5 linked regions of the Callithrix jacchus genome follow. The protein of the gene in region 4 binds, or shares a complex with, the protein of the main gene of each other region. Links are inferred from orthologs where the notes say so. Each region holds a gene or a part of one and is shown on either strand. Other genes may lie near its edges.

Region 1 (3,807 bases), on a different chromosome or scaffold from region 4:
CCTTACCAGGAGGACTTTGGAGTTCATGTCAAGCAGGCCATTGACCCTCTCCCACTGGATTCCTTACAAAAGCAGCCTCTTGACCACAGAGGAGGACAGCATGTTATCCATGCTCTTGATCCAAGAGTCTGAGACCCTGAGATGAAGACGTCAAGAAAGACCATGATGGATAATTTGTGATGGACAGGAATCAGAAACTGGGACAACAGCAGCAGCTGAGTCCAGGGGTCAGTGTCTGGGAGTAATTTAGGAAAGTTTGGTGCTGACAGCTGTGTCTGGGACTTGAACGTCATGGCCAAACCAGCTCCTGGGCTCCTCAGCTGCTTCAGGCTAATGAACCTCTGGCCCAGGACACAAGCCGCAGCTGTGGTGTGGCTGAAGTCAGGGCCCCTGGAGGCCCAGGCTCGGCCTTGCTGCTTCCTTAGTAGTGTCAGTTAGACAAGTGGCTTAGGAAAAGAGGAAAGGAAACTAACATTCAGTGAGCGCACTGCCCTTTCTCAGCTGCCATCCTCACTGGTGAGGAGCGGAATGTTCCTATTTTATGTAAGCCCTGAAGGTAAACGCGTCATGCAAGCTCTATGACTGGGAAGGAGGAAGACAGAATTAGAACCCAGAGCTTCTGAATTCAAATCCCGGGCTGCTGGCCCCGAACTTTAGCGTTTCTGTAAAATGGTGACAGTAATACACTCACCCCGCACATGAAGTCCCACATTGAAGGTTCTAAACCCTTTCCTCCTTTCTCCCAACCTTGGTCCTGAAGAGCTGCGGCACCTCCTTCCCAGGAATGTAGTCATCGTATTTTGCCTCCCAACAGGTTTGTGGGGTCTGGGCCCCAGGAGGTGTCTTGAAGGGAGGGTATCAGGACTTCTGTTTTCCCTCTACCCCACTCCCCAGATCTTCTCCCGACTCTGGAGGGCCGACTCCCGCTTCTCCCTGGTTGTGACTGGCGGGCTGACAACAGCGGGTGTTCCCAGGGATAGATAAGGAACCCTAAGCTGGCCGGCCCAGCTCCAGGAGCCCCTTCCCCCACAGCCCAGGGCAGCCCCTTAGGTGCAGCGGCGTCGAGAGGCCGCTGGAGCTCCCAGCCCCTCCCTCTTCTCCGGGTCTGAGAGAGCAGCTCGCCGACCCCTCCAGCCCGGAAAGAGAGGGGGCGACTCGAGTCCGGGAGCGGCTCCTTGGAGACCCCGGAGAGTCCTGCGCGCCGCGCGGCCGAGCCCCAGAAATAGATCCCGGTTCCGGGGTTCCGGGAGCTGTCCAGCCCCGCGGGGTGAACTGCGAGAGAGTGTGGGCCAACGCCGGCAAGGCGGAGGGAGCCGCGGGCGCCCGGCGCGGGTGCGGCGGCTACTCCCCCTCCAGCAGCGGGCCCCGGGCGTCGCCCCCGCCCCCCACGTGGCCGCCGCCGTCCCAGCCCCTCCGAGGAAGCGGCGCGGCTTCCTGCGGCTCGGGCCGGGGATATAGGCGCCCCCACACCCGGGCCAGGCTCAGCGCCGCCGCAGCTCCCTCGCCTCCTTGCTGCACGATGGCCTCGCTCCGAGCGGAGCGCGCCGGCGACCCCCGGCTCCCGACGACCCGCGCTGGGCGGCCGGCAGCGCTCCGCCTCCTCCTCCTACTGGGCGGTGAGCGCGGCGCCGCGAGGCCCGGGCGGGAAGCGTAGGAGGCCCCGGAGGGGAGATGGGAGAGGGGCTGGATGGGCGAGGCGGGAATGGGCCCCGGGGTTTGGGCGCGGACCGACGGACAGAGCAGCACTGGCCTTCGGACGGTCCCTGACCTCACCTCGGGGCGGGCATAGCTCAAGCTGCTTCCCACCGGGGAAAGCTGGAGTGCGGGCCCCGGCTCCGCGGAGAGGGCAAGGGAGGCTGGGAGCTGGCCAGAGGGGAGGGGGCTTTGGGCCTGGGTGTGAGTGACAAGGAGCTGGTGCCAGGCCCTCCCTCCCCAGCTGGGATGTCCATGGGGTCTAGATTATTCCTCTTTTTCTTCCATGGTAGCCCTGCTTTCAGAGGGTCTCAGTCCCCCGCCCCCCCCGCAGACCCCACTTCTGGGGTCCCCGCTATGCCACCCTCCTCTCCTGCTTCTCCCCACAGCTGTCCTGAAGCCCCAGGAGACCCTGGCTCAGCCTCTTCCCACCACAGGCACACCGGGGTCAGAAGGTGGGTACCCAGGATGTGGAAGGGTAGCCGAGGGCAAGGACGAGAGCAAATTCAGTGGGGAGAGTCCCTTTCCCACGAGGCCCGCACAAGGCCCGCACAAGGCCCGCACAACCCCAACTGATGGCCCACTAAACTCCCCTCTGTTCTTTCTTGGGGTTCCTTGTGGTCTTTCTCCCTGTCTTCCCACAAAGTCCCTGCACAGCTCTGAACTGGCCCACCTCACAGGTGGGTGAGAAGACCCCAGGAAAAGGTGTACGTGGAACTTCTTATCAGGCTGGGATGGAAAGTGCTTAGCACAGGGAAGTCGTTACAGGATTCCTGAGCTGGGACTCTCCTCAGCCAGAACTTCTTGCTAGGGAAACTTTCTGAAGGGTTCGCACCCCCCCCCCCCCCCCCGTTTGAAGGCAGGCACCTGGGCAGGAGGGTTTGGAAGGAGGGGCAGGGCTGTGGTCATTGTGCAGCATCTGTACCTACAGTGAAGATGATGGAGAACTATGAGGCAGCTGTCCAACTTTGCTGGAATTATTACAAGTATCAAATGGATCCTATCGAAAAGGATTGGTGCGACTGGGCTGTGATTAGCAGGTAGGGGCGGTGCTGGAGGGTGGCTCAGGCCCGGGGTTGGGCCTGCTTATTGCAGGTAGACCTTGAGTGAGTGTGGGGCACTTCTCTCCCTGGGTCCACCCCCTCACTCACTCAAGTCCTCTCCTGCCTCTAGGCCTTATAGCACCCTGCGAGATTGCTTGGAGCACTCTGCGGAGGAGTTTAACCTGGGCTTCCCCAATCCCTTGGCAGAGAGGATCATCTTTGAGACTCACCAGATCCACTTTGCCAACTGCTCCCTGGTGCAGCCAACTTTCTCAGACCCCCCAGAGGATGTACTCCTGGCCATGATCATAGCCCCCATCTGCCTCATCCCCTTCCTCATCACTCTTGTAGTATGGAGGAGTAAAGACAGTGAGGCCCAGGTTTAGGGGGCCACAAGCTTCTCAACAACCATCTGACTCTGCTTCCCTACCCCCACAGGGCCTCCCTCCTCCCCTTCTCCCTTCTGTCACTCTCGCTCCCACCACAGATCCCTGGATTGCTGGAAGTGGAGGCCGGGTGGGGTCATGGCACAAGTTCTGTAATCTTCAAAATAAAACCTTTTTTTGTACAATGTCCTTCTCCTCATTTCAGTGGGACCTGTGTCGTTCCCTGCCACTCCCACAGGCTCTCAGCTCTGGGTAGCAGAAGCGGAAAAATCTGGATGGCCCAGATTCAGAAAAATTTGAATTCTGTTAATTTCACCTGCCCCCCTGCTCTCAACCTCCATGAAGGTCACACCCCTATATTCTTTCCTTCCAGGGGGGCCTTTCCTGCCCTTATCCAAACTCAGTTCCAGGAAACAAGCAGGAAGAGACTCCCTTCCGGTCTGGACAGCAGCTGGGGGCCTGCGACTGGGGAGGTGTGGGGGAAGGGGCAAGGGAGGAATCTCTGCTTGTGACTCTGCAAGAGGGACAGGAGGCTGCCCAAGGGGCCCTGACTGTTCCCTTCTTCATGCCTCAGTTTACTCCCAGGGCCTGGGAAGAGGAACCCTGGCTGAGCAACAGGAATCCATTCCTAAGGACCTCACAATTAAGGGCAAAAGCAGTAGGGGCTTCCTCTACTAGGTTCACCA
Region 2 (4,142 bases), on a different chromosome or scaffold from region 4:
CCTCTTCTCCCCCAGGGTTCTGCAGACCAGGTGACACCCTACCCAGCTGCTCTGTGCCTAAACGTGGCTCAACAGTCTGTCAATCACTGTTGAGACAGACCCGATACGCCCCTAATCACTGTTGAGAAAGACCCGATACGCGCCTGCCGGGTTTTACGTGACCCCTAGCAACAGCTTTTCTCAGGGGCTCAAATCTCTCTGCAGACCCCAGACCAGAACACAGCATGTGCACGCACCAAGGCCACCAGGTGATGTGGGTGTTTACCTTCCGCTGGCTCTGAGCCCACCGCAGCACGGTAGCGGGAGCGCAGCTGCGAGGGCAACCGCCGGGTTTGTGGCTGGATGGCGGGCTCAGTGCTACCTCAGCCGGCTCTTGCAGTGGAAAAGTAAAGGGCTACACTAAGATACCCAGAGCGAGAGGAGAGGGGCTGGAAGGGTGCTGGAGACAGGCTGTAGTGGGGCTAGAGAAGCGGACTGACCGGCTCTGCGGCGGGCGCCTGAAGCTGCGAGCCACGCACCTCAGCTGTGGTTGCCGCGCGGCACGGTGTTTATCAGTGGGTTCAGTGCGCACGGCACAGTCCATTCTCCGAAACCACCCCAAACCGGCCATAAACCGCAACCAAAATCCCCTTTAATCCTTCCCTGGAACAGTAGGACCTGTGAAACTCTGAGACCAATTTGTGGGGTTCCCTTTGAGCAGCACGGGTCCCACCCCTCCATCGGTACCACCGCAGCTACTGCCTAGGGGGCTTTGCTCGCGGCGGTGCGCACCTGAGACCCTCTTATTCCCCTGCGTCACCATCCACATAAACGGCGGAGCACCCTGCCTGCACCGCTATGGGCTACTGTAGAGACCCCTAGAGTGTGATGGGGATGGGGTCTCTTAAAGTGCTTTACCGGAGCCAAACTCAGCGAGCGACAAGCAAAAGCAGCAAAAAGTACACCCAAGGCATTTAAAAAACACATTATGCGCTCGCACACTCGGCATCCCCTCGCCCTCGCCTCTCTCTGCTTCTCTGGTGGGCCCACGACCACCTGTCGCATCCCTGTGCACACCTGCGCCCCCTTCCCAGGCACCAAAAGTCTTGCGCTCTGGACCAGGGACTTGAGATCCAGGGCTGCCTGGAGGCTGGGGGCTATGACTCAGGGGTTCGGGGGTGTCCTGGGGTGATGAAACCCTTCTTCAGTCCCCCTCCCCCGAGGAGTCTGTTGGGTTGGGGAGGGAGGGTTTCAGCTCCTGTACTCCAGCGTCCCGAGGCCCACGTCTTGCGTCACGTGTCCTGCAACGCAGGAGATCTTTCTCTGGACAGGGGAGAAGCGAGGAGAAAGACTCCAAATCAGTCGGAGAGAGGAGTGGAAGGAGCCAAAACATCCCTGCGAGGCCTGCGCTCATCAGCCCCCTTACCCAAAGTCCTGGGCTGCTGGTGCCGGGAGCAGGCTCCTGGAGCCGGAGCCAGCTTGGCACTGGAACCGGCGTCCTCTGGTGGCAGAGAGAGAGCGCTACTGGCGATTTTCGGACCGAATCGGCACGCTCGTCAGATCCAAGCAGGCGGGACTGGCCTGGAGCAGAAAGAAAAAGAGAGGAGGGTATAAGGACAGACCAAGGAAGAGGGGCTGGAGGTGCAGCCTAAGGGGATAAAAAGTGGCCTGGAAGGAACCAAGACTCCACCAGTAACAATTGGGTTGCTTCAGCCTCGGTCTAGGGTTCCAGGCCCTGAACCCCCCAACCTCACAAGGGTTGGAAAGTGAGGCTGGAGAACTTTCCAGCTGGTACTTTGATTTTTTTCTAAAATTTTTTTTTCACCCTAGTTCGGTTGGGTGCTCCGTCCTACGGAGCCCCAAACTTATTTTAAGAAGCCGCCACCGTGTTATGGGCGTGCGCAACTGCCTCGACGGCAATAATATGTCAGGACAACACGATATCTCCCCTGAAATCGGGGAACAGCCCGAGCAACCACCTTTGGAGGCCCCAGGGGCAGCTGCCCCCGGTGCTGGGCCTAGCCCAGCCGAAGAGATGGAGACCGAACCGCCTTACAGCGAGCCCATCCCCCTCGAGAATGACGGCGAGGCCTGTGGAACCCCAGTGGTCTCCAGGCCCAACTTTCAGGTTCTCAGTCCGCCCTTCAAGGAAGCTGGAGCCCATGGAAGCTACAGCCCACCTCCCGAGGAAGCCATGCCCTTCGAGGTCGAACAGCCCAGCTTGGGAGGCTTCTGGCCCACACTGGAGCAGCCTGGATCCCCCAGTGGGGCCCAGACAGGCCTTGAGGCCTTCGGCTCAGCACTCATGGAGCCTGGAGCCTTCGGTGGTGGCAGACCAGGTGTGGGAGGATACAGCCCTCCACCAGAAGAAGCTATGCCCTTTGAATTTGACCAGCCTGCCCAGAGAGGCTGCAGTCAACCTCTCTTACAGGTCCCAGACCTTGCTCCAGGAGGCCCAGGTGCTGCAGGGGTCCCCAGAGCTCCTCCCGAGGAGCCCCAAGCCCTCAAGCCTCCAAAGGCTGGCTCCGGAGGAGGCTATAGCCCTCCCCCTGAGGAGACTATGCCATTTGAGCTTGATGGAGAAGGCTTTGGGGAAGACAGCCCACCCCCGGGGCTTTCCCGAGTCATCGCACAAGTCGACGACGGCGGTGGCCAGTTTGCGGCAGTCGCGGTCTCGAGTGCGGTCCGCCTCACTCCCGCCGCGAATGCGCCTCCCCTCTGGGTCCCAGGAACCATCGGCAGCCCATCCCGAGAGGCTGTCAGACCTCCTAACTTCACCAGCAGCAGCCCCCCGATGGAGATCTCCGGACCCCCACTTGAGATTGGCAGCGCCCCCGCTGGGGTCGACGACGCTCCCGTCAACATGGACAGCCCCCCAATCGCGCTTGACGGCCCGCCCATCAAGGTCTCCGGAGCCCCAGATAAGAGAGAGCGAGCAGAGAGACCCCCAGTTGAGGAGGAAGCAGCCGAGATGGAAGGAGGCACAGCCACCGATGCCACGGAGGGAGGAAAAGTCCCCTCTCCGGGGGACAGATCCCCTGCCGCCGGGGCAGCCTCAGCGGATCCCGCAGCCAGGGCGGCCCCTGCAGCCCCAGCCGATCCCGACTCCCGGGCAGCCCCAGCCGATCCCGACTCCGGGACAGCCCCAGGCAGTCCCGACTCCCGGGAAGCCCCAGCCGATCCCGACTCCGGGACAGCCCCAGCCGATCCCGACTCTGGGGCAGCCCCAGCCGATCCCGACTCTGGGGCAGCCCCTGACGCCCCAGCCGATCCAGATGCCGGGGCAGCCCCTGACGCCCCAGCCGATCCTGACTCCCGGGCAGCCCCTGACGCTCCCGGCGCCCCTGCGGCTGCTGAGACCGGGGCAGCCCCTGTCGCCCCAGCTGCGCCTGACGCTGGGGCCCCAGCTGCCCCAGCCGCTCCTGCCGCCCGGGCAGCCCCAGCAGCCCGGGCAGCCTCTGCAGCCCCTGCCTCCGGGGCCAGACGCAAGCTCCATCTCCTTAGACCCCCCAGCCCCGAAATCCAGGCTGCCGATCCGCCTACTCCACGGCCTACTCGCGCGTCTGCCTGGCGGGGCAAGTCCGAGCGCAGCCGCGGCCGCCACGGGTACTACGATGAAGGGGCGGCCAGCAGCGACGATGACTCCAGCGGAGACGAGTCCGACGATGGGACCTTCGGATGCATCCGCTGGTTTCAGCATCGGCGAAACCGCCGCCGCCGAAAGCCCCGGCGCAACTTACTCCGCAACTTCCTCATGCAAGCCTTCGGGGGCTGCTTCGGTCGATCTGAGAGTCCCCAGCCCAAAGCTTCACGCTCCCCCAAGGTCAAGAAGGTACCCCTGGCGGAGAAACGCAGACAGATGCGCAAAGAAGCCCTGGAGAAGCGGGCCCAGAAGCGTGCAGAGAAGAAACGCAGCAAGCTCATCGACAAGCAACTCCAGGACGAAAAGATGGGCTACATGTGTACGCACCGCCTGCTGCTTCTAGGTAATGCGGCGGACTCTGCCTGTCGGCAGCAGGGCCGCCAGGGAACCGGGGAGGGGGTGGCAGGGCTGCCCGGTGGGACGCGCGGGGCTCGGCAGTGGGAGGAGGGGGTTCAGCCAAAGGCAGGAAGAGCCTGCTAGAAAGTTCCAGGGAGGGACCCTAACTTTGCCCTGGGAGCGG
Region 3 (4,212 bases), on a different chromosome or scaffold from region 4:
GTTTTAGAGGTTACCCCCTAGATTCACCAACTGAAGGGCAGGGCTTGTTGATGTAACACTGTCTTGCATGTAGGGACACAAATGTCTGTTAAATGAAGAAAGTAGGGAGACCGGGCCACCTAATGGGGTATATCTCCTAGGGTTCAAGAGGGGCTAATCAAGAGAGAGTGTGCCCTCCCCCACCATCTCACCCAGACCCCTCACTCTCAGAACTCTTGGGGCCCCGCGCAGTGGGGGAGAAGGCATGCTGGCCCCGAGGGCCCTCCTAGCCTGTGTTAGAAGAGCTGGTGGATGGCCTCCCTGTCAGCTGTCTCCCCTTCTCTGAGCTTACAGCAGATGGCAGCAGCCGCTCAGCCACTGACTGCTGAGGAACTGTTGGTCACTCAGCAGTGCCGTGTGACTGCAACTTCCACAAGAGAGACAGCTGTGGCCACAACGCTAGGGTGGTGATCCGTCCCCCTCCAGAGGCGGTGCATTCTTTAGCATGAGTATAAATTTACTATTGCTAAGAGTTCTCAGAACAGGTTATTGCAAGAAGGAACCCACTGCAAGGTGAAATCCAGCCACTAGTAATGCCCTTAGAGCCCAGGTCAGGCCTGTGCCTTCCAGAACTTACCCCTCCCCAGGCTTTCCCAGACCATCTCCAGAGCGCCCTCCTCTCACCGCTTTAGATAAAGGAATGCACCCAAGATCCCCCATCAGTTCTCCATGCAGCTGCCAGAGTGACGGTCCCCAAAGCAAACCTCGTCTCTAAGGACTCTCTGCCCAGACCCTCACAAACCTCCTGCCAGGCGCTCGCTACCCATCAACAGCGAGACCCCCAGGCCATCTCAATCTCCCCAAAGAGCCCCGTTCCCTCCAGCCCCCGGCCTCTTCCCACCCACTCATCCTGCAGATCTGGAGCAGCATTCCAGGGCCTGGGAGTGTGCGCCATCTTGGGTTATTAGGGGTCTTCCCCAGGCGCCTGGCGGGGAAGCGGGGGGGAGGTGACGCCAACGCTCCCCAGCGCCTGCACCTGGGAGGAGAGGTAAACGCGGTGGGGAGATCTCAGCCTGTTTGCAAAGCAAACCCCAGGCAGGAGAACCTCGGAGGAGGAGGAGGGGAAGATGCCCAGGTGGAGACCAAGGTGCCGCTCCCTCGGAGTCGCCTAGGAGACCCTCCCTAGTTTAAAAAGTGAGAACATTTCAGAAGGCCTCACTCGAAGTCCAAGTGTGCCGTCCCCCCCGGAGACGCCCGCGCGACTCCCCTGCAAAGTTTTCCCGGCCTCGCGCGCCCCCGGCCCTGGCACCCACCTGGGGAGCCACAGTGGGCCGGGCCACGCGGCCGCCGCCTCCCACCCCTCCCGCGCCCGCGCCCGCCCCCGCCCCCGGCACGTCTCCTCCGGGCGGGCGCCGCGGCGGGCTCAGTCCTCGGCGGGGCGCGTGGTGGGTGGACTGGGCTCCGCTGTGCACCATGGCCCGGGCCCTGTGCCGCCTCCCGCGGCGCTGCCTCTGGCTGCTCCTGGGTGAGTAGGGTCGGGGATCCGGGTCGAACTCTCTTCCCCCGGCCCGCCGGCGTCCTCTAGGGGAGGGGAGGAGAGGGAGGGCGCAGCGGTCCGCTGCCGTTGAACCTGGGCAGCCCGGGTTCCAGGCGGGAGGCCCCAGGGCACCGGGAATCAGAGGGTGCGGACCGGAGTTGCGCCTCTTGCCGCGGAAGGGACGGCTTTGGGGAAGTCGGAGAGCCGGCGTTCTGAAAGGCGTGGGGCGTCAGCTGCGCGCACCGGAGAACTTGTTTCCGGGAGAGAAACAGGACGCGGGGTTCCCCAGCCCCGCACCTCGGTTTCCCAGGCTGTGCGCCGCGGTGACCGCCAGCGCAGGCTCCCCTCCCTAGGCAGTCCCGCGTGGCAAAACCTGCAGGCAGGCGCCTCGCAGAGGACTCGGTGTGCGGGAGTCGGAGCCACTGACCGTTCGTCTGGAGATGAGTCAACACTGATCTCTCGCAGACAGAGCAGTCGCTTGTTTGCTAATGATGCCTTTTGCAGAAATAAGGCCCTCCCTTCTCGAGGCATTTCCATCGCTTTTTTTTTTTTCTTTTTTCTTTTGGTTTGCTTGTTAACTTGGCACTTCCGGCTAATAGAAATTTAGAGGACGGGACCCTTGGTGAAGTGGTGGAACGCGCTCGGCTTTCCACCTGCGGGAAGAGTGGAGATTATCAACTACCCGGTGGCCACAGGAACTGGCCACACACTCAGCAAGGCACGGCCCCGCTCACTGCCCCCATCTGCAGTGCGCTCCCAACATGCTGACTCAAGCCCCTTCTACACTGGTTGTTGCGTTCCGTGTATTTAGCTACCTTTCAACGGAAACCGAATAATAGATTACTGGCGTGGGAGAAAACCCAGTGCCCCTGGGAAGGCCAGAGCAGTTGTTTCTAGTATATGTGGCCTTTTCCCAGAAACAGTGATGTTGGTCAGAGGCACCTGCCGCACAAGTCCCCTTGGCCTGTCACTGGCACTGGGCAAGCAGTGACCGCCAGCGCTGTTTCTGTAGCTGGGGGAGCAGTTCGTGGCCCGGCGAGGAGAGGGGCCCGAGCTTCTTGGGAGCCATGGATTTCTGGTCCCTGTTTGTAAACCTCTCCAAGGAGTGGCAGATCGGCATGGAATCCTCCGAGGCCAACATAATATTATCTGAAAGCGAATCTTGCCACTCGAGTGTTTTGGCTGAAGTTAAGTGGAAAGCCACATCTCAGCGGAATCTTCCCTCCTCTTGTGTTCGGATCCATTTGGCTTGACGTGACCTTCACTGTTTTCGTTTCCTAAGAGACAAACATTTCTTTGTTAGCAAGGCAGAGAGCTGGGCTGTGGAATATTTTTCACATAAATAACCAAATAAATAAATGTTCTTTACTAGTGTCCAGAGACTGCACCCTCTAAGGCTTGTGTAAATAAAACGCTATGTCACGATCACATATACAGACCTTCCTTGTTTACCAAGAAAACTATTCATGTTCTGCTGGAAGTCCAAAGTCCTGTAATTTTAACATCATTTTGAGTGGCCTGGCTAATGTTATATCTTGGAAGGTTATGAGGTTATCGGTAAATTAATGTCATTTGGAGACCAGCTGTAATTCGTGGAATTACTGAGCACAGGCTGTTTCCTTCACAGGCTCTAGCACTAGCCAGATCTCCTTGGTGATGAAGATTCTGCTACCCAGAATGGCAACGTGGAATTTTTTTTTTTTTAAGAACGCTAGTGTGCAGGTTTAAGAACTTATCTGTGACAATTTTACAATCAAGCTATTTGTCTTAGGTAGTTATTGAGATTCTCCCAGCCATGGGAGAATCTCAGTTCACAGTTCACCCAGCCATGATGGCTCACACCTGTAATCCCAGCACTTCGTGAGGCTGAGGTGGGTGGATCACCTGAGGTCAGGAGTTCAAGACCAGCCTGGCCTACATGGCAAAACCTGACTCTACTAAAAATACAAAAAAATTAGCCAGGCATGGGGTGGTGGGCACCTGTAATACCAACTACTCAAGAGGCTGAGGCAGAATTGCTTGAACTTGGGAGGGCAGAGGTGGCAGTGAGCTGAGGTCATGCCGCTGCACTGCAGCCTGGGTGAGAAGAGTGAAAACTCCGTCTCAAAAAAACAAAAAAACAAACCTTAGGATCCATATGTAGTTCTTTTCCCTCCGAGCATCCTATGCACTGTTCTGTTTGCTGGAGACTAACGTAACCACATGCATTTTGAAAGGTTTGTGTAGAGACACCAAAAAGCTGTTTGCTAATCAGGAAGGAAGAATGCATGGCAGCCCTGGTTTCGAGTCCAGCTGCACTCAGGGAGTGCCGGCTGGTGCTGTCACACAGGAACTCAGTCATCTGTCCTGGGAAACGCTTGCCTGCCTTGGCTGTCATGTGGAAGGTGCGTTTTTGTTTTTTTTTTTAATGGCTGCGACATTAATTGAAATATATGACTCTATAAATAGAAGTAGAATTGGAAATGACGGGACACCGTAGGAAGTGCTGTGTGACTGCTTCAGATCGCCACGTGGTTTTAAATCCGGACGCAGTTCTCATGCCGGAGTCCAAATCTGAAGCATTCTCATTTGCTAATCAGTGTGTTTGTTTACCCTCTCTGTGTGTTCAGCTGCAGGAAGAAATGTCTGGATTTGTGTCTTCCTTTCACAGACGCCTTGCCAGTCCGAGGCCAGGGCTATTGAGAAATGTTTATATC
Region 4 (3,508 bases):
TGGCCATAGCCACAGAAGAAATTGAAATCTGTTTAAACACAAGTTAGAAAGGACAGTATGACAGAGTGATCTTTTCAAACACCCACAGACATATTACCTTTGAAAAACAGAGACTTGTGACGGTAATGATTAACTGAAACTGAAAAAAACTATTGTCAATCTGTACCCAAAATGCAAATGTACTGATAAAAATATCTAATAAATACACTGATTTTCATTAGGGAAAATAAATTGCCCTGTACAGGTCATCTGCTATTGAAACCAATTTAAGGAGATTATGGTCAATTATGAGGAACAGAAAACATATTTTGTTTATTCCATGGAATAAATGGTGTAAATTTCTGGCAGTGTACACAGCACCAATAAAATTTCACTAAAAGAAGCACATTTATTGAGCTATGTCTATTTTTTAATAACACGATTCATGATTCTTAAGGGTAAGTTAAAGTTGATTTAATATTTGTATTTTTTGGAAATCAGATTATTTGTTTTGTTTACTTCTAAACTTTAGAATCATGGTAAAATTAAAACAATTCTAGCTGATAAAGAGGTGTGTGAGTGTGTATGTGTTATGCATTTTCAATAGCAAATGGAAACATGCGAACATAAGACTTGCAGGTAGAATCTGTAAATGAAATGTAAATACATTTTTAGTTATATACATGAAAAAAAAAGTCTACATGGAGACCATGAATAAGTATTGCTTAGAGAAGGAAAAATAAATGTTTTCGAAAACTTTTTCGTTGTCTCATTTATTTGTGCTCACCCATTCCTCCTGTCTATAAGTAACTGATTTTTCTTTTTAATACAGAACCCAACCACAATTTTTCCTACCAATTCAAATCAAACCTTTTCAACAACAGAGCCGGAGCCATTTCTTTACGTCGTAGGACGAAAGAAGATGATGGATGCACAGTACAAATGCTATGAACGAATGAGGCAGTTACCCCCATACCAAGGAGAAGGTAAAAAGAAAGATATATATGAACATATGCTTGAAATGCCATTAAAGATGTTTTCTTTCATGGTTAAATATGTGTTGAATAATTTTAATTTAATATGCCAGCAGTTTTCACACTGTGGTATGTTTGTGTATTTCATGCAATGGATATGCCTGATTTCTTTGTTCAAGTTTATCTGACTACAGTTTGGCTAACATCTGCCCTCATGATAAAATTACTGCAATAACTCAGTATTCACTCCTGGTGAGCAGGAACAATACAGGACTGACGGAGGGAGGGACACGGAAACTGATAGGAAAGGGAATTGGAAAATAGTGGGCAGAGAACTTGCCTGAGGTGGAACCTATCAAACCCTGTCTTGCTTGGATTAATTAGGGAGTACCTTCCCTTTAACTGTCAATTGGTTGGCAACCCATACTATTCTTCCACCCTTTCTGGCCCCAGTTTCCAGGAGAATTAGAAAAAGATACCTCCTAGCCAGACATTGTTTGTCTACCACGTTTTCTAGAATGGCTCTTTGTGACTGCCCATATATTTTCTGGTCTAAACATATCCTATTAGCTGTAGAGGACCCATAGAAAAAGAAAAGGGGAGACGTGATGGGCAAACTCATTGTAACATCCCTTTAAATTCCCCTGCTTGTGCACTGAGGCATTTGGAAAGAGTCAGTAAGATCTTTTACAATCAAATATTTTCGTTTTTTTCAAGACAGAGTCTCACTCTTTCATCCAGGATGTTCCTCCAACTTTAGCCTACTGGGCAGTTGGGACTACAGGTGCATGATACCTTGCCTGGAAAATTTTTGTAATTTTTTGTAGAGATGGGGTTTTGCCATGTTGTCCATGCTGGTCTCCAACTCCTTGGCTCAAGTGAGCCTCCCAAAGTGCTAGGATTACAGGCCTGAGCCACTGTATCTGGCCTACAACCATGTACATTTTAAGACAACCCAACTTAGTAGGGAAAAAAATGGTTAATATACTGTTACTACACATTCTTTGCTTTCAAATAGTTCAAGTTTTAGTTTGTAGTTCTTATTTTTAGCATTTTTCTTTAAACAAAAACATCAAGTCAACCAAAAGGCAGATACATGTTATTCTTCTGTCTACAGTAGTCTCAGTATTTATCAAGAACTGAACAGGGATTAGATATAACTTTAACCAGAGGAGAAACCATTTCTTTGAAGCCAATGAGACAATAAAAACACAGAACTGATATTTTCTGTTTTCTGAGCATTTTCTTCATTTTTAAAATAATTTTTTTCAAACTTTATTGAAAGCCTGAATCCGATTGTTTTGAATATCTTTGTCGATGTAAATCTTCATGGTTTGGGGTAGTTTTTGTTTTTGCTTTTGAGAGACATGGTCTTGCAATCTTTGGGGTTATTTGCTTTTTTGATAGCTCAACTTTGGAACCTTTTACAAAATAGGAATAGAACCCTGTTTGTCAGTGAGATAATTTGGTCACAGATATGCTATGAATAAAGAATAAATAAAGTTTAGAAACTTTATTTCCAAAATAAATGACTTTGGCTTGTTTGAAATGTAGGTGGCTATGACTGGTGTAGTGAGTTCAACTACATGTAATATTGTCTTGGGATCAATCTCTTTTAGTTACATCCACATGGCTTCAATAATAATTTTCTTCTAAATGGCCAGGTCCATATTGCAATCGCACCTGGGATGGATGGCTGTGCTGGGATGACACACCGGCTGGAGTACTGTCCTATCAGCTCTGCCCAGATTATTTTCCAGATTTTGATCCATCAGGTAGACTGTTTATTTTCATTTTATGTTCTTGCTATAAAGCTTTTAGAGTTTTCATGGTTTTGAAAATAAAATCAGATACAAAATGTACCTACCTATTTATATTCCACATTTTGCAGGTTCTGAGGCATTTCCTTAATTGAAATACTACTTAGTTGTACACATATTACAAGCTGTCCTTTTTTTTAAGTGATATGCTGGTCAGTTGTACATATTGGTATTAAATTCTGGTTTATAAACATAGCTTTTCTAAAACTATGAATATTTTTATTTAAATATGAGTTTTTTTAAATCTTCAATTGTCTCACTGAAAAGGGGGTAGAAATCTTAATTACAAAGGAGACCCGGATGCTGAAACTAAATGGATTAGCTACGGGCACAACATAGAAGTCCCTGTTAATGGGTGAAATTTGTTCACGAGAGTAAAGTGAGCCTGAGCCTACAAGGGTTGTTTAAGTGGCTCTAGAATCCCAATTAAAGAAGACAAATGAGTCTACCCCTGAAAGAATGTTTGAAAGATGCTTTCTGTGCTTCCATCAAGAGTAAAAGATCAAATTTGTCCCTGAAAACAAAATTTTACTTCAGTAAGGCAAGATAATGAAAGTGGTATTGCAGAGGACCACTTTTAAAACCAGTGCAGGCCAGCCATTTCTGGGAACTCCCATTGTGATGGAAAAGTTGGGAAGTGAAGAAAGAAAGAGCCTTGTGCCAGGTCCTAAACCAGCTATATTCCTGGAATCTCTAACTAAATGCTATTTGATGATAATCCTTCAGTCCTTTATT
Region 5 (3,965 bases), about 43 Mb from region 4:
GCCTGGGGGGCAGAGAGGTGCCTCTAGCTGAGTCTCAGAAGTTCTGACCAGAGACAATTTTGAAGACACTGTCAAGTGTCCATGGGAGCCGGGGCCTGTGCTAGGGGCTAAGGGTGACAGAGGCGACCCATCTGGCTAAGTGACCTGTGGCTGGAGAAACTGAGGCCCTCCCTCCCCTCAGGGACCCCAACACTCTTCGAGGCCAGGACTTTGGGGGGTGTCAGATAGTCTCCTGCCCCTCGGTTTGCTTGTGGCTTCGTCCTTTGTGTGTGATGTGTCTCTCTGTGTGCAGTTGCCACACCCTTGTCTCTTCTCACACACACTGTCTCCCAGGCTCACAGTCACAAACACACCTCATCTCAGATCTACAAACTCACATATGCCACACACACCATACATCACATACTCCATGCACACACACGCACCTACACATACACCCCACATGCACACCACACTCACAGCCACATACTCCATGAGCGCGCACACACACACACACACACACACACACACACCCCAGCCTCCTTCAGCACTTTTCCTGACCCTTGGAGACCTGGCTTCTAGATGTGTCTCTTCTCAAAGGTCCCCTCCCTGCCCGGAGTGTGGCTTTGTACTCTGGCCTACTTTCGGCCAGGGCACACCCACCCCCAGGTCCACCTTCCTCCAGTCTACCCCCAGTAGCCCCCAGCCCATCATCAGCCCGTGCTTCACCCTCACCTTAGCTCTCTCCCCGGTCTATCCCCACACTCTGTCCCACAGCCTGGACGGAAGTTCCCCAAGTCCCTCCAGCCTGCACCCCAGCCCGCCATCAGTCGGGCCCCACCCTCACCCCAGCTCACCTCCCAGCCTGCCCCTACAGTCTGCCCCCAAAACGCTCCTTTGCAGCTCAGCAACCCTGACCCACTCTCAGAGCCCATCAGCCCGTCCCCTACCTTACCCCAGCTTATCCCCAGCTCGTAACCCAGCCCCCGCCTAGATTCCAGCCCAGACTCCAGCCCTGCTCCGTCCCACCCCGCTGCATCCCACTTCTGAAGGCGTCCGGGCACCGCCAGAGGCGCGCGGCCTGGCGGGGCGCGGCCTGGGGGGCGGACCCCCTGAGGCCCCGCCCCATCCCGCCCCATCCCGGCCTCCCCCCAAGCCGCTCCCCTAGCTGGACCGAGCCTGACCCAGCCGCGGCCGGCCAGCCATGGAGACGCGAGCGCGGTGGCGCCCGCAACTTCTCCCGCTGCTGCTGCTGCTCTGCGGTAAGGGGGCGTCGGCCCGCACCGGGTGCGCCCCCAACCCCCGGGGTCGACAGGACTCGCGTGGACCGGCACCTTCCCGCACCTGCGCCGCGCTCCTTCCCTTGCTCCGGAGCTGGGGAGGCGCGCGCAGTGACCCTGGAGGGGTCCCCAGACTCTGCAGGAGGGTTCTACTCGGGAGGAGCTGGGGGCGAAGGACTCCGGCGGGCAAGGGAGGCACAGGGACTCTTTTGCCGGCGGGGTCAGGCAGCCCCCGCTCCTCCTAGTTGTGATGTCCCTCACACCCCTGTTCTGGGGTGGCCTCAGGGTGGGTGAGCGGGGGCGGACCAGGTCTGGATCCTTTCCCCCATCCCACAAGATGGACTGCGTGTGAGGTAGTGAGCTCCCTGTCCTGGCATTGAGTGCGTGCCCACCACTCACAGGGGCGCGGGCGGGTGGACTCCGGACTGGGTAGCTGGTCACCCCAGCGGAGCCCTTCAGTGTGTGGACACCTGTGTGTGTCCTGGAGCTGGCTGAGAGGGAAAGCTGGGAGACGCTCTCAGCCTTCCTCCGCAAGAAATCAGGACTCTGGGGAGAACTGTTGCTCACAAAATGGGAATAGATTAAACTAAAAGCTTGTTTTGAAGTATCTTAACTAAAGAAATTATCCAAGAAAAAGAAAGGGAGGGAGGGAGGGGGAGAGAGAGAGAGAGAGGGAGAGAGCGAGCGAGAGAGATAGGGGGAGAAAGAGAGAGAGAGAGAGAGAGAGAGAGAGAGAGAGAGAGAGAGAGAGAGTGTGTGTGTGTAAGGGCTGTTGGGGAAGAGCGCTTGCTGAGGGCTGGGCTGGGGTCCGCTAAGCGGTGATTGAGCCTGGCCAATTCTGGGGGGACGTTGGAGATGGAGGGCTCTGGCCTGGTGGTCCCCAGTCTTCCTGGCTGTAAGATGCACAATTGGGCCTGTTTTGATGATTTTGCCTTTGGTAAGGGAGATGGGAAAGGGTGGACCAAACTCAGCAGTCGTTTTCCTTCCATTGAGGAGGTCTTGGTGTGCGGAACCTTAGTGCGTGGCTTCATTTTGTGCCCCAGGGCTGGAGCCTAGGCTGTGGTGGAATTTGTGTTGAAGTGCAAAGGTGCATGCTGATTTGGGATTTCAGCAAGCTTCCAGTGAGAGCCCCTCAGGGGGAGATCTTTGTCCCTACAGTGGAAGGAAGGGCCTCTGAATTCTTTCTGGGAGAAGCTGAGGCTCTCCTGATTGCCTCCAGTATGGAATTGAGCAGGACCACAGACTTCCGCTTGCACAGAACCTCCCCTCTTAACAATCCTGTCTCTTGTGGACCCGGTTCTGAGGGCCACTTCTTTGTCTTGTCATGTTCGCCCTGACTGTCCCCCTCCAATGGGACATGGGTTCCTGCTCCCTGGACAGAATGGAGACCAGGTCCAGCTTCTCAGGAGACCCTCCCAGTGTTCGCCCGGCTAGAGAGATTCAGAGAGAGCTAAAACTTGCTCATGGTCACTGGCTGATGTCAGAGGTGGGATTGGAGTTCACATCTGCCCTGGATGCTGCTGTACCTGGAAGAAGGAGCAGGTTGTGTTCCTCTTGAGTGAGGACTGGCTCTGGCAGGCCAGCAGGGAGGGTGCTGGCCTCTGGGGCTTCTTTGAGAATTCCAAGCCTTTTCCCAGAAAGCATTTGATGCTGTGGGGCCATAGGGGTGTGAAGTCCAGCAGGTGGCTACTCAGCAGGGAGCTTTGCTGTGGTGCCCAGCCCTTGACTGGACTCTTCTGGTCTGGGTGAAAATCCTGATCGTGATCCCAAGATTCTAAGGCACTCACTGGCCCTTAGCCTCAGTTTCCCAACTGCAATGTAGATATAATAATAGCAACCTGTAGAGGGCGCTGAGACCGTCAGTTTGATTCCGTTCAGTTTCTTCCCTGTTGCCTTGTGCTGGGCATCATGAGATTGTGGGGGCGGGGGGGAGGGTTCATGCTTAAACAAGGGGAGGGATGGGAAGGCACCCACCAGTAACCGCAGTGGGTCTCATGAGGCTTACTCACAGCACCCCAAGATGGAGCACCGTAGTGTGTGTGTGTGCCTGTGTGTGCAAGTGTGTGAACATGGTACCACCTTTGTTATCATGAGTGAAAGTAATGATGTCCTGCTACCCTGTTACCTGTGGTCACACCGATTCTGCTGAATCAAGTGGGCCCACGGGCCGTGGTTGGATAGCAGTAACTCTGGTGAAGTAAAGACTTGAAGGTCAGCCGGGCGCCGTGGCTCATACCTGTAATCCCAGCACTTTGGGAGGCCAAGGCGGGTGGCTCACGAGGTCAGGAGTTCGAGACCAGCCTAGCCAACATGGTGAAACTCTGTCTCTACTAAAAGTATAAAAATTAGCTGGGCGTGGTGGTGGCCATCTGTAATCCCAGCTACTTGGGAGGCCGAGGCAGGAGAATTGCTTGAACCTGGGAGGCAGAGGTTGCAATGAGCAGAGATTATGCCATTGCACTCCAGCCTGGGCAACAAGAGCAAGACTCTGTCTCAAAAAAAAAAGACTTGAAGGTGGTGATTGACCAAGAAGAGGCCCATAGAGTTTTCGTGCTGGAGGTGTCTTGGAGGTTATGTGACCTTACTCTTCATGCTGTGGGTAAGGAAACAGAAGTCTGGAGGGTACAGAAGGAGTTGCCCAGCCACAGAGACCGCAGAACCGCCCAGAATCCACAGCCTCCCAAGGTCAACTGACCATGGCCCACT

The links.
Region 1: the proteins of CALCR (region 4) and RAMP2 are in contact, whole or in part, in a cryo-EM structure (PDB 7TYX), measured with the Homo sapiens proteins. The link is inferred for Callithrix jacchus from reciprocal best matches to the Homo sapiens genes CALCR and RAMP2. Residues at the interface, in NP_001158210.1 of Homo sapiens: Arg45, Lys46, Met48, Met49, Asp50, Gln52, Tyr53, Lys54, Tyr56, Asp57, Met59, Gln60, Trp76, Gly78, Arg126, Phe235, Leu238, Ile242, Thr246, Val250, Glu255, Lys256, Gln257, Arg258, Trp261, Tyr262, Leu264, Leu265, Phe269, Pro273; in NP_005845.2 of Homo sapiens: Trp86, Tyr93, Ser94, Arg97, Asp98, Glu101, Leu109, Pro112, Glu117, Ile120, Phe121, His124, Phe128, Cys131, Pro136, Phe138, Ser139, Asp140, Pro141, Leu146, Met149, Ile150, Pro153, Ile154, Leu156, Ile157, Leu160, Ile161, Leu163, Val164.
Region 2: the proteins of CALCR (region 4) and guanine nucleotide-binding protein G(s) subunit alpha isoforms XLas are in contact, whole or in part, in a cryo-EM structure (PDB 7TYY), measured with the Homo sapiens proteins. The link is inferred for Callithrix jacchus from reciprocal best matches to the Homo sapiens genes CALCR and GNAS. Residues at the interface, in NP_001158210.1 of Homo sapiens: Arg180, His184, Glu240, Tyr243, Leu244, Leu247, Ile248, Val249, Val250, Ala251, Val252, Phe253, Glu255, Lys256, Ile319, Val322, Leu323, Lys326, Met327, Glu329, Thr330, Lys340, Lys343, Ala344, Ile347, Leu348, Leu351, Tyr391, Asn395, Asn396; in NP_000507.1 of Homo sapiens: Lys34, Gln35, Arg38, Ala39, His41, Val217, Phe219, Tyr358, Phe376, Cys379, Arg380, Asp381, Ile383, Gln384, Arg385, His387, Leu388, Gln390, Tyr391, Glu392, Leu393, Leu394.
Region 3: the proteins of CALCR (region 4) and RAMP1 are in contact, whole or in part, in a cryo-EM structure (PDB 9AUC), measured with the Homo sapiens proteins. The link is inferred for Callithrix jacchus from reciprocal best matches to the Homo sapiens genes CALCR and RAMP1. Residues at the interface, in NP_001158210.1 of Homo sapiens: Arg45, Lys46, Met49, Asp50, Gln52, Tyr53, Tyr56, Asp57, Met59, Gln60, Gln61, Thr75, Trp76, Asp77, Gly78, Asn124, Arg126, Phe235, Leu238, Ile242, Thr246, Val250, Ala251, Gln257, Arg258, Trp261, Tyr262, Leu265, Phe269, Ile276; in NP_005846.1 of Homo sapiens: Trp59, Ile63, Tyr66, Arg67, Ala70, Asp71, Phe83, Trp84, Pro85, Val89, Asp90, Phe93, Leu94, His97, Gly98, Phe101, Ser103, Arg109, Ala110, Val111, Arg112, Asp113, Pro114, Ile118, Leu119, Phe122, Ile123, Pro126, Ile127, Val129.
Region 5: the proteins of CALCR (region 4) and RAMP3 are in contact, whole or in part, in a cryo-EM structure (PDB 8F0K), measured with the Homo sapiens proteins. The link is inferred for Callithrix jacchus from reciprocal best matches to the Homo sapiens genes CALCR and RAMP3. Residues at the interface, in NP_001158210.1 of Homo sapiens: Arg45, Lys46, Met49, Asp50, Gln52, Tyr53, Lys54, Tyr56, Asp57, Met59, Gln60, Arg74, Thr75, Trp76, Asp77, Gly78, Asn124, Arg126, Phe235, Leu238, Ile242, Thr246, Gln257, Arg258, Trp261, Tyr262, Leu264, Leu265, Phe269, Ile276; in NP_005847.1 of Homo sapiens: Cys57, Leu59, Ile63, Tyr66, Glu67, Thr70, Tyr83, Trp84, Pro85, Gln90, Ile93, Thr94, His97, Arg98, Phe101, Ser102, Cys104, Val106, His110, Leu111, Glu112, Asp113, Pro114, Val118, Leu119, Leu122, Ile123, Pro126, Val127, Leu129.

Annotation. Positions count from the first base shown.
Region 1 is NC_133506.1:121,132,028-121,135,834, reverse strand, and holds RAMP2 (receptor activity-modifying protein 2), read left to right. Parts: upstream 1-1,483; 5' UTR 1,484-1,519; coding exon 1,520-1,616; intron 1,617-2,081; coding exon 2,082-2,147; intron 2,148-2,623; coding exon 2,624-2,732; intron 2,733-2,865; coding exon 2,866-3,121; 3' UTR 3,122-3,306; downstream 3,307-3,807. UniProt on the Homo sapiens protein: Accessory protein that interacts with and modulates the function of G-protein coupled receptors including calcitonin gene-related peptide type 1 receptor (CALCRL) and calcitonin receptor (CALCR). Required for the transport of CALCRL to the plasma membrane.
Region 2 is NC_133506.1:54,421,111-54,425,252, forward strand, and holds the start of guanine nucleotide-binding protein G(s) subunit alpha isoforms XLas, read left to right. Parts: upstream 1-1,339; 5' UTR 1,340-1,870; coding exon 1,871-3,965; intron 3,966-4,142. UniProt on the Homo sapiens protein: Guanine nucleotide-binding proteins (G proteins) function as transducers in numerous signaling pathways controlled by G protein-coupled receptors (GPCRs).
Region 3 is NC_133507.1:159,154,841-159,159,052, forward strand, and holds the start of RAMP1 (receptor activity-modifying protein 1), read left to right. Parts: upstream 1-1,404; 5' UTR 1,405-1,452; coding exon 1,453-1,504; intron 1,505-4,212. UniProt on the Homo sapiens protein: Accessory protein that interacts with and modulates the function of G-protein coupled receptors including calcitonin gene-related peptide type 1 receptor (CALCRL) and calcitonin receptor (CALCR). Required for the transport of CALCRL to the plasma membrane.
Region 4 is NC_133512.1:56,118,422-56,121,929, forward strand, and holds part of CALCR (calcitonin receptor), read left to right. Parts: intron 1-811; coding exon 812-965; intron 966-2,617; coding exon 2,618-2,728; intron 2,729-3,508. UniProt on the Homo sapiens protein: G protein-coupled receptor activated by ligand peptides amylin (IAPP), calcitonin (CT/CALCA) and calcitonin gene-related peptide type 1 (CGRP1/CALCA).
Region 5 is NC_133512.1:13,219,859-13,223,823, forward strand, and holds the start of RAMP3 (receptor activity-modifying protein 3), read left to right. Parts: upstream 1-1,160; 5' UTR 1,161-1,183; coding exon 1,184-1,241; intron 1,242-3,965. UniProt on the Homo sapiens protein: Accessory protein that interacts with and modulates the function of G-protein coupled receptors including calcitonin gene-related peptide type 1 receptor (CALCRL), calcitonin receptor (CALCR) and G-protein coupled estrogen receptor 1 (GPER1).